Linked DNA regions of Saccharomyces cerevisiae S288C. The protein of the gene in region 2 binds, or shares a complex with, the protein of the main gene of each other region. Each region holds a gene or a part of one and is shown on either strand. Other genes may lie near its edges. The genes, in order: VAR1, RSM18, MRP17 and MRPS16.

Region 1 (3,793 bases), on a different chromosome or scaffold from region 2:
AAGAAGATAAAGAATAAAAATTAAGAATATTATTTTATTTATTTTTTTTAATATTATATATTAAAATATAATAGAAAAAAGAGTATTATATATTAATATAAAATATATTAATATAAATAACTAACCGCCCCCGCGGGGGCGGTTTATATAATTTAATAATTAATATATTAATAATAATTATAATAGTCCGGCCCGCCCCCTGCGGGGCGGACCCCGAAGGAGTAATATATATATATATTTTTATTTAATTAACTATCAATAATAATTATTTATAATAATAAAATATAAATAGGATCCAAAAGTAGGATTAATTTATAATTTTATTTGATATTTATTTTTAATTAAATTATTATTATAATAATTATATAAAAAAATTAATTAATTAATATTTTTAATATAAATAAATTATAATTTTATTTTTATATAATTATATGATATTATATTATATTTTATTTATATATAATTATATATATATAAAAAGTAAATATTATTTTATATATTTATATATATATATATATTATTTATTTATTTATTTTATTTATTATATTTATTTTATTTCTCCTTTCGGGGTTCCGGCTCCCGTGGCCGGGCCCCGGAACTATTAATATATATATTAAATAAAGTTTAATTTAACTTTAATATTATATTTACCATTTTTATTAATATTAGAATTATTATATAAATTATGATTAGAAGGGATATAATTTAATTTATAATTATTATTAATATTACTTCATAAATATTTTTTATTATTAAAAGTACCATTTAATAAATTAAGTGTACTAGTTCTACCATTATTATTACTTAATCTACCTTTAAATTTAATAGATCAACCAACTAAATATTTATATATTAAAATATCTATAGGAATATTATCAATAGTTATATTATTATAAATATTATTAATATTACCAATATAATTATTATTATTATTATTATAATTATTATTATTATTAATATTATTATTATTATTTAATAAATTAATTATATTATTATATTTATTATTATTAATATTATTAATATTATTAATATAATTTATAGAAATATTATGATCATTTAATTTAGGCATAATATTATTTAATATACGTTGATAATTAGTTAAGATACCATTATTATATTTATCTATATCATTTAAACTAATATATTTACTAAAAATATCACTATTTAAATAAATATATGATAATTTAATAGGTTCAATAGTTACTTTTTTTTTATAATAATAACTTAAAATATTACATAAATTATTATTTATATTATTATTTATAATATTTATTAATTTATTTATTATATTTATATAATAATTATTATTATTATTATTATTATTATTATTAATATCATTATTATAATAATAAAATTTAATATTTAATTTATTTAAACTATGTTGATTAATAAGTTTACTTATAATAATTTTATTAATATTTATATTATTTAATTTTAAAGTTATTATTTTATATAATAATTTATTAATTAATTTATCATTTATAGTATTTATAATTTCTATATTTTTATTATAATTATAAATTTGTAGATTTCAATTATTTATATTATTTAAATGTTGTAATTTATTATTAATATTCCCCGCGGGACCAATCCGGTGAACAACCGGATTGGCGCCCGCGGGGTTTATATTATTATTATTTAATATTCTTTTTATATTATTTATTTTTTTATTATTTATATCTAATAATATATTCTTTAATAATAATTTCTTATTTATTAATGAATCTAATAGATTATTAATAATAATATTATTATTATTATTAAGTTTATTTATTATTGATAAAATTATATTTAATAATTTTAATTTCATTATTTTTTATTTTTACTTTTTATCTATTATATATACATATTAATATTAATATTAATATAAATAGAAATATATATATATATATAATATGCATCCTTATTATAATATTATTTATTATTATAAATAATAATATATTAGATATTTTTTGCAGTTATTAATAACATTATATTCTTTATAATAATAATATAAATCCCAAATAAAAAAAAATAATTATTATTAATAATTTATATATAAATAATTTATAAAATAAAATATTATAATTTTATATATAAAAATAAAAATATTATTAAAATAAAATATATCATAATATTATTAAAATATATATATAAATATATAAATATATATATATATATATAAATATAAAGAATTATTAATTATTTATAATTTTTAATATATTATTATTAATTAATAAAATAAAATCCCTTCTTAAGAATAAAAAGGGTCGGACCGGACTATTATATAAATAATATTATTAAAATAATAATTATTATTATTATTATTTTTATATATTTTATATTTATTAAAATTAATTAATTAATTAATTATTATTATTTATTTATTTATTTTATTTTTATAGGAATAATATTAAAATTATTATTATATATATGTATTATTACGGATGATGTAGGATTTGAACCTACGTAGCCAATAAAGACTAATGATAGCTCAAATATCACACTTTAAACCACTCAGTCAACCATCCTTAAGAGGAATATAAATATAAATATAAATATTAATATAAATATAAATATTAAATAAACTCCTTTCGGGGTTCCGGCTCCCGTGGCCGGGCCCCGGAACTATAAATATATTATATATATATATTATAAAAATCTTTAATATAATATTATATAATTATTAATATAAGAACTTTTAAACTTTTATTAATTTATTTTCTCCTTCGGGGTTCGGTCCCCCTCCCTAACGGGAGGGGGTCCCTCACTCCTTTCTTAAAATAAATTATTATTAATAATTATTATATAATAAGAATTAATATAATTAATATAATTAATTTTATAAATTATAATATTAAAATAATTATTATTATTATTATATAATTAATCATATATTTTTAATTTATTATATTTATTAATATAATATAAATTATTATTTAATATTTAATATTTAAATAATATAAACCCCGCGGGACCAATCCGGTGAACAACCGGATTGGCGCCCGCGGGGAATATTAATAAATTAAATATTTAAATAATTATAATTAAATATTATTAATGTATATATAAATTTATATATTATATAGATAGATAGATAGATTTATAATATATTTTATTATATTGTTATAATATATTATAATTTATTTATAAACCTAATTATTATATTAATTATATGAAAATTATAAATTATATATATTTTATTAAATATTAATAGTTCCGGGGCCCGGCCACGGGAGCCGGAACCCCGAAAGGAGATGTTCACTAATATTATATTAATATTAATATTAATATTATTAAATGAATAATACAATAAAAATTATATTGTGTTCAATTAAATATATTTAATATATTTATATATAAAGAATTTATTATTTATTAATAAATATTATCATAATATATATATTTCTTATTTATTAATAAATATTTTTATTATTAATAAATAATATATCTTATTATGGTAATTTATATTTATTTATATAAATGTTTATTATAACAATATTTATAAATTATTATTATTAATAATATAAAAAAAGTAATTATATATTATCCATTATTTATTTATTTATATATTAATATATTAAAAAAAAGGTATATTATATATTATTATTATTTTTTATTATAATTTATATATATTATTATTATTATAATATTTATATATTTTATAATAATTATATAATTATAAGAATGTTATTAATTTAATCAAATGAGATTTTATTTTATTTTATTTTTTTATTAATTTCATTATTTTTTATTTATTTATAATATATTATATATATTATACACCGAATAATAATAAGAATGAAACCATTAA
Region 2 (2,903 bases):
GGGAATCCGGAGAGCTTGGTGGTTACGAATTGTACATGATGGACGACGACGAAGATAATAAGCAATACTTAAAGGAAGACGTTGAAGACGCTTCTGTTTATCGTGCGGATGACAGTGGTGATTCAGTATTGATTAATGATCCACCTGCTTGGAATACTTTCAATTTGGTCTTGAGAGATGAAAGTGTTTTGGAGTTTGTTAAGTACGTCAGCTGGAGCGCTAAATCTAGTAGATGGGATGTCAAAATGAAGTGGGATGTCAAATCATGTGATGAAGATGGTCAGGAAGATGAAGCGTAAACAATTAACCCGTCTTATTAAGTAAATGGCAGCTTAGATATTTATAAAGTTGTATAATAGAAGTAATAAAATTATTTGAAAAGTTATTCGTCAATTTCAGCTTATTCCTCTGGCGTGAATATCATTACCATAATCCAAATTCGAGTAAGCGAATAAAACGGGTATATTAAAGAAATATAAGAATGAATATAAGTTTAACTTAAGATCTAATTGCGATTCTTTTTACATATTGTATATTTACAGACAGAACTATGAAATGCCTTATTTTCTTAATTATTTCATGTGGAGAAGCATTAGTGTAGTACAGTTCACATTAATCCTATTGCCTGGCACCGTCTAATGGCTTTCGATAGTCTTCTTTGATTCTTTGCCGATAAGCCTGTGATATCCCTATGTTGGATTCTTCCCGTGGAGGTCACATATCTTGAAAGTATTCTTGGTCTTGCATAAAATTCTAGTGGATTTGCACCGGACTTCATTATATCGTTCCTGTTTGAGTTCTTGTTTGCCTGATATTTTCTATCTAAATGGATTCGTCCCATAGAGAAGTCAAATGGATCGTAGATAGTACCTTTGGGAAGTTTTTTGGACAAAGACTGATCGATTTTCTTTGTTTGTTGCGTTCTCCCCATTTCAATATTGACACTCTTCTTTTCTTTGATACCGAAATTGTATAGAGCACGTTTAAATGTGGAGCTTACTGCTCCCTTGATGATAGGTTGCATACCGTTTTGAATTTTTATGCCTGTGGTGGCATTCATCTTGAACATCCGAAGTTTTGTGTAGAACCTTGCCTTTTTGGTTAGAACTGTAACACTGTTAATAATGGACTCATATTTAAGTATGTAAAGTAATCCTAGATATTTTTTCCCCCAACAGGTTACCCTACAATGCAATTTAAAGGCATAATAGAACATCTAATAGAAGTGGGTGATTATAATGAGTAAGAAGACGTAATGATCATAAAACAAAATACTAATAAGCTATGGTGCAATGCAAGATCCCAATATTTGCCAGCATTGCCAGTTGAAGGATAATCCAGGCGCATTAATTTGGGTGAAGTGTGATAGTTGCCCGCAGTGGGTCCACGTGAAATGCGTGCCTTTGAAACGCATTCACTATTCAAATCTTACAAGTTCTGAAGTTCTGTCTTATCCAAATTCTGCGAAGCAAATCAAGAGCTACCGTTGTCCTAATCATAAGGAAGGAGAATATCTTACCGCATACGCTCTCATCACACAAAAAGGAAAGCGGCAAAGGAATAAAGAAAACCCTGAAGATAGTCATATAAATAAGCGGTATAATTTCAGAAAGAAGAAATTACTTGACTATATCGCTTTGAATGAGGGTGAATCGAAAAGGGATAAAATGAATCACCCTCATAAGGAGAGTTTCATGAAATCTTTTGAAAAATGGAAAAATGGCTCAAATATTATAAACGCCGCTGACTTTGCTGAAAAGTTTGATAATATAGATGTGCCGTACAAGATCATCGATCCACTGAATAGCGGAGTATATGTACCGAATGTGGGCACAGACAATGGATGCCTCACAGTTAATTATATCACCGAAATGATAGGCGAGGATTATCATGTTGATGTAATGGACGTTCAATCACAAATGAATGAAAATTGGAACTTGGGATCTTGGAATGAATATTTTACAAATACTGAACCAGACAGGAGGGATCGAATAAGGAATGTTATATCATTAGAAGTCTCTAATATTGAGGGATTAGAACTAGAGAGGCCCACTGCAGTTAGGCAGAATGATCTTGTTGATAAAATTTGGAGTTTCAATGGACATTTAGAAAAAGTCAATGGGGAGAAGGCGGAGGAGAATGACCCCAAGCCAAAAGTGACCAAATATATTTTGATGTCTGTAAAGGATGCTTATACGGATTTTCATTTGGATTTTGCCGGTACCTCTGTTTATTATAACGTTATCTCAGGACAGAAGAAGTTTTTATTATTTCCACCTACCCAATCAAACATAGATAAGTATATTGAGTGGTCTTTAAAAGAAGACCAAAATAGTGTTTTCCTCGGTGATATTCTTGAGGATGGTATTGCGATGGAATTAGATGCTGGTGATTTGTTTATGATTCCAGCTGGATATATTCATGCAGTTTATACACCAGTAGACTCTTTGGTATTTGGAGGCAACTTTTTAACCATCCGTGATTTGGAGACACACCTTAAAATTGTGGAAATTGAAAAGTTAACAAAGGTTCCTAGAAGATTTACCTTCCCGAAGTTTGATCAAGTGATGGGTAAATTATGCGAGTATCTTGCGCTTGATAAAAATAAAATCACTAGTGATGTCAGTGATGGGGATTTGCTTTCCAGGACCACTAATTGCGCAATTCAATCACTTCATGCATACGTTATAAAACCTGAAGTTAAGTACAAGCCGTTAAATTTCACTTCAAAGAAGCATTTAGCGAAAGCTTTAGCCGATCTTATTTCGTAAAATTTCTTCTTGTCCGCCACGTTCTTGTATCTTTTATTTCATCCTATGCTCTCGATGAATGAGATCTACTTTAGCAATTGATACAGTATAACCCTGACATTACATTTAGGGAATAATCGCCCCAATATAGGT
Region 3 (2,456 bases), on a different chromosome or scaffold from region 2:
TCAAAGAGTGATCCATTGGCTGCAGATTCAAACGATATCGAAAGTGTCCCTTTGTCCAACTTGGAACTTGACTTTGATCTTAATATGACTGATGAACCCAGTGTAAGCCCTTCGTTATTTGATGGATCTACTTCTGTTTCTCGTTCGTCCGCCACGTCTATAACGTCACTAGGTGTAAAGAGGGCTTAATGAGTATTTTATCTGCAATTACGGATACGGTTGGTCTTATGTAGATACATATAAATATATATCTTTTTCTTTCTTTTTCTTAGTCAGGATTGTCGTTTAGCATAATATACATGTAGTTTATTTAATCACATACCACTGATTATCTTTAGAATTTTATAAATTTTTGAAATAAATGGGTGGCTTTTAATGGTGTCTATGTTAAGTGAGGCTTTTAGAATGCTCTTCCTGCTTTGTTTATTATATGTGTATGAAAGATATGTATGTATTTACATGTGTTTGTAGCGTCCCCAGTCAAAACCTGTGCGCTATACCTAAATGGATTGATAATCTTCATTCACTAATTCTAAAATAGACTTCTTCCCCAAAGAACGGTGTAACGATGAGGCTCTATCCAGCTGCTTATCTAAATCAACTTTAACGATGGATGATCTTATGACACGGGGATCTTTCTTTAAAGTTCTTAGAATTTCAGACTGTACCGCAGCTGATGAATCAAACAGCATTAAAAAGTGATATGCTCGAAAATGTTTTTCCTGGTCTTTCTTCATTATTTTAGGAAGATACCTTATGCCCATGGGTACAATGTCCCTCACCACACCTCTGTTTTGAATAATCAGTTTCCCGATTGTGGAAGACAATTCTTTTGCTTCCAACTTTGGCGCATTGGAGTTGGTTATGCGAACAAGTCCGATCAGCTCATAAAGCATCTTAGTGAAAAGGGTGGTTTTGCGTTATTCTTTCCTCTGTTGAAGCTTTTCTATTTTGTTTAAGCTGAACTAGTGGGAGTTTCCATTAAAAGGCTAAAGTCTTGTTGAAACTTTTCCGGGTTAGATGATAACTGCGAAAAGATAGATAAAATCAGCATTAAAGGGACTTCGTCTCCTCCTAATCAGAAATCATCCTTTCGAATTATGCGTATTCAGTTGAAGCGTATTTGTGACCAGTGTACTTCAAGGCTGATTGTTTCACCCTTGGACACAGAACGTTAAACAATGAGTTTGTTTGAGTGGGTATTTGGAAAGAATGTCACTCCGCAAGAGAGGTTAAAAAAAGTATGTTGTTCTGTATTTGGATCAGTTATTTTAGTGAACATACTAACGTTAATTATTTGAGTTTTTAGAATCAAAGGGCTTTAGAAAGGACTCAGAGGGAGCTTGAAAGAGAAAAGAGAAAATTGGAACTACAAGATAAAAAACTTGTATCAGAAATTAAAAAATCGGCAAAGAATGGGCAAGTTGCAGCTGCGAAAGTTCAAGCAAAAGATTTAGTAAGAACCCGGAATTACATCCAAAAATTTGACAACATGAAAGCTCAACTTCAGGCGATATCATTGAGAATACAGGCCGTTCGAAGTAGTGACCAAATGACACGTTCTATGAGCGAGGCCACTGGTCTTTTGGCTGGAATGAACAGAACAATGAATCTACCTCAGTTGCAAAGGATATCGATGGAGTTTGAAAAGCAGAGTGATTTGATGGGTCAACGACAGGAATTCATGGACGAAGCTATTGATAACGTCATGGGTGATGAGGTGGATGAAGACGAAGAAGCTGACGAAATTGTAAATAAAGTTCTTGATGAGATTGGAGTGGATTTGAATTCACAGTTGCAAAGCACGCCTCAAAATCTGGTTTCTAATGCGCCGATCGCAGAAACAGCGATGGGGATTCCTGAACCTATTGGCGCCGGATCAGAATTTCACGGTAATCCTGACGATGACTTGCAAGCTCGGTTGAACACTTTGAAGAAGCAGACTTGAGCGCTCTGAGTATATTTAATGAATAATAGGTCTATACTATAATACATCAACTACTGATATCAAAGTAGGCACTTAGAATCAAAAGGCTTCCGAAAATTTGTTCAGTTTTTCACTTTACTCAATCTCGTCACTAAAGTTTTCTTTTTTTTTCGAATGAATCCTCGAATAAATATGTTCTATATTATATATATACATCTTTTATATATCATTAAATGTACAGTAATCGGTCAAATTACAAATGCTTACGGATGATTTTTTCACTGATTAAGTACTCATAAATAATGGTAGCACATTCTTCAACCGTCTTCTGGTCGGTTCTCAAATGTAGCTCTGGAGCTTTTGGCGCTTCATATGGGGCAGAAATACCTGTAAACTCCTTGATTACACCCTCCCTAGCTTTCTTGTATAAACCCTTAGGGTCCCTTTGCTCAGCGACTTCTAATGGAACATCAACAAATATTTCAATGAACTTCAAACCAGCCTCCTTATGTAGTTCACGAGCTCTATC
Region 4 (2,660 bases), on a different chromosome or scaffold from region 2:
TCTTAGCCCGCACAAATTCTAACAATAGTGTTAGCAACAGTAATGCCTTTTCTTTACTCACGCCAACGCCTACAACAGATTCCGCATTTAATTTTAACATAGCTCTGCTATCGAGACAACGTAGCAATATCATATCGTCCCCCTTAGCTAGTACTCGTTTACCTACAGCAAACGTGTCCACTGAAGAATCCTCTATTTTACCAAATGAATCATTGAAGCTAAAAAGAGATTTATTGCGTCTTAAAAGGTAAATAGTGCCGAACAGTCAGGAGCACACAATACATGACCTATAATGACACTATCTTAATGAAATTCTATTACACTTTCTCTTTTCTTCACATTCGATTAAGAATTTAATTTATTCCATTTCAAGTCTCATTCTCCATTTTCTGGTTGGCCATAGATGTATTATTTACAAGTCTGATAGATATAAAAGCGCCAAGTAAAACATATATACAACATATACATATACACCTCGCATCAATTAAAACACGTTCCTTTGCTTTCCTTTCTTTTTCTTTTTTTTTTTTTTTCCGATCTTTTTCACTCCAATGTTTCCATTCTTTCAAATACAACTTTCCTATTCACATTGCTGTTCTTACTAGTGGCCCATGCATCATTTAATATACCAGCCTTTCGTAATAGTTTAGTAACTGTTTCGCTAGGTTGTGCTCCCACACCAATCCAATATTTTGTTCTATCAAAATCAAGCTTCACGTCTTTAATAGGTACAACGCCCCTCTTCAATTCTCTCTTGGTCACTGGGCTGGGTACCGGCACGTAGGTTCCTAGTACCTCGATCGGTTTAGCATCCCTCGCCTTACGGGAATTAGCCACTACGATATTATAGACCGGACTATTTTTTCTTCCAAATCTAGCTAACCTTATTCGTACTAGACCACAGGTCATACTTGATAAACTCTATTACAATTTCTTAACGGAATACCAGTCAGAACTCCTCCGTTACTTAAGTCGTGTATATATTCCCCTTCCTTTTTTCTTACAACTGTTCTTGGTGTACTATTTCATTTTTTCCGTCCTGAATGATAGATGATCATAATTAGTGAAAATTTTTCTTTTCGCTGCAGTGTTTAAAATTTTAATTATATCATCTCATCTCATCGCGCAATTAGAACTTCCTCGGTCGCAGTTAATTCTCTCAGAGAAGAGTTTTAGTTTGAAAAGGTTCAACTTATTTTTTTACTGATTGAATTCAACCAGGTAATTTCTAGATTTTGAACAGCATCTCGCGAATTGAATCAGCAAATCTCAGAGTTCATCATGGATCAAGACAAAGTTGCTTTTCTTTTAGAGCTGGAGGACAAGCTGGCTAAAATTCGTTCCCAAGTAAACTCTAAATTGGAGAATCAAAAGCATATTGCTATAATATTAACTGCCGTTGAGGAAAATATTGCAGGTCAAGCTACAAATGATGTTTCAAAAAACATTGTAAATTATATCATTTCCTTTATGTCACTATTGGATCAAGCAGTAGACCCATCTACTCATGAAATAAAAGATATTCAATTGGCTTCCTCATCTACATATCTTCTAGATCTGATATTTCATTATTCGCCTAAGGTATTATTAAGATCGAAGTTTTCTGAAATCCTAACGAAAATTGCCCCATGTATCACTGCAGAAAAGGCTAATGCCCCTCTAATTAGAGCTGCTATTGGTTGTTTAGAATCTCTTCTTATTGCTCAAGATGCACAAGCCTGGAACAATACTTATGATCTAAACGTCACTCCAAAAAGAGGTTTGCAGGGTATACTTGAACTTTCTTTAGATGTAAGACCAAAAGTTAGAAAGAGAGCGCTAGATGCAGTTCATGCGGTCTTATTAAACCCTCCTGTTGCACCAACTGCAGAGCATGTAGCGGCAGTTTTTGTAGCAGATTTCTGTGACAAGCAGTTAGCAGGTATTTTAAATGATCTCTCGAATTTATCAAATAAACAATTGAAAGCACAGAAAACAAAGGAAGACATTAACGCTAGTGTCATGCGCTCTCTAAGGTTGATTACTTCAGTCGTCTCTACTGGACAGTGGCCATCTTCACAGATTGAGCCTCTTTGTGATGTACTATTGGGAGTCACCAAAAGCTCAGAGCAATATCTCGTTTCTGCATCATTTGAATGTTTTGAAAGCATGTTCAAAACAATGGCAGAAACTACCATTTCTTCTGGATTGGCTGAAAATAAGTACCTAAGAGTCTTGGATACCATTTTTGCATTAAAACCCTCAAATGTCGATACATTATTAACCAAGTCCTGGATTGCTGTGGTCATTAAGGGTATGTCCACTTACGCAACACATCAACCACTGAAAGCGCTACGTAAAATTCCTGGTGTATTTCACATTATGTGCACATATTTAGCTAGTGAAACTCCAGAAGTGTACCAAGCTGCCTCTCAATGTCTTATCTCAATCCTTTCTGAGTCTGTTAAAGATGATTTGTTATTGTATACACCAAGTGTGGATGAGAAAGTTTTCAAAAACGTAGATGAAATCATCTCTCAAATTGCGAAAACATTTATCGACTTTTTATCCATTAGATATTCCCATTGTTCCAGAGAAATTCTTAAGATTTTGGTGGCAGCATTCAACAAATTCAGATATAGATCTAATCCTCACTTTTTAAAATCACTGAAAATAGTCGA

What was found.
Region 1: RSM18 (region 2) and VAR1 share a complex: the UniProt entries of both Saccharomyces cerevisiae proteins name them as parts of the mitochondrial small ribosomal subunit.
Region 3: RSM18 (region 2) and MRP17 share a complex: the UniProt entries of both Saccharomyces cerevisiae proteins name them as parts of the mitochondrial small ribosomal subunit.
Region 4: RSM18 (region 2) and MRPS16 share a complex: the UniProt entries of both Saccharomyces cerevisiae proteins name them as parts of the mitochondrial small ribosomal subunit.

What each region holds. Positions count from the first base shown.
Region 1 is NC_001224.1:46,918-50,710, reverse strand, and holds VAR1 (mitochondrial 37S ribosomal protein VAR1), read right to left. Parts: upstream 1,811-3,793; coding exon 614-1,810; downstream 1-613. Other genes in the region: OLI1 (F0 ATP synthase subunit c), read right to left, coding at 3,758-3,793. UniProt on the Saccharomyces cerevisiae protein: Component of the mitochondrial ribosome (mitoribosome), a dedicated translation machinery responsible for the synthesis of mitochondrial genome-encoded proteins, including at least some of the essential transmembrane subunits of the mitochondrial respiratory chain.
Region 2 is NC_001137.3:253,364-256,266, forward strand, and holds RSM18 (mitochondrial 37S ribosomal protein bS18m RSM18), read right to left. Parts: upstream 1,025-2,903; coding exon 608-1,024; downstream 1-607. Other genes in the region: TPA1 (oxidative DNA demethylase), read left to right, coding at 1-299; JHD1 ([Histone H3]-lysine-36 demethylase), read left to right, coding at 1,293-2,771. UniProt on the Saccharomyces cerevisiae protein: Component of the mitochondrial ribosome (mitoribosome), a dedicated translation machinery responsible for the synthesis of mitochondrial genome-encoded proteins, including at least some of the essential transmembrane subunits of the mitochondrial respiratory chain.
Region 3 is NC_001143.9:436,597-439,052, forward strand, and holds MRP17 (mitochondrial 37S ribosomal protein bS6m MRP17), read right to left. Parts: upstream 897-2,456; coding exon 501-896; downstream 1-500. Other genes in the region: AUR1 (inositol phosphorylceramide synthase), read left to right, coding at 1-189; ESCRT-III subunit protein DID4, read left to right, coding at 1,182-1,241, 1,310-1,948; MET14 (adenylyl-sulfate kinase), read right to left, coding at 2,181-2,456. UniProt on the Saccharomyces cerevisiae protein: Component of the mitochondrial ribosome (mitoribosome), a dedicated translation machinery responsible for the synthesis of mitochondrial genome-encoded proteins, including at least some of the essential transmembrane subunits of the mitochondrial respiratory chain.
Region 4 is NC_001148.4:528,442-531,101, forward strand, and holds MRPS16 (mitochondrial 37S ribosomal protein bS16m MRPS16), read right to left. Parts: upstream 910-2,660; coding exon 544-909; downstream 1-543. Other genes in the region: CIP1 (Cip1p), read left to right, coding at 1-251; mRNA-binding protein RRP12, read left to right, coding at 1,282-2,660. UniProt on the Saccharomyces cerevisiae protein: Component of the mitochondrial ribosome (mitoribosome), a dedicated translation machinery responsible for the synthesis of mitochondrial genome-encoded proteins, including at least some of the essential transmembrane subunits of the mitochondrial respiratory chain.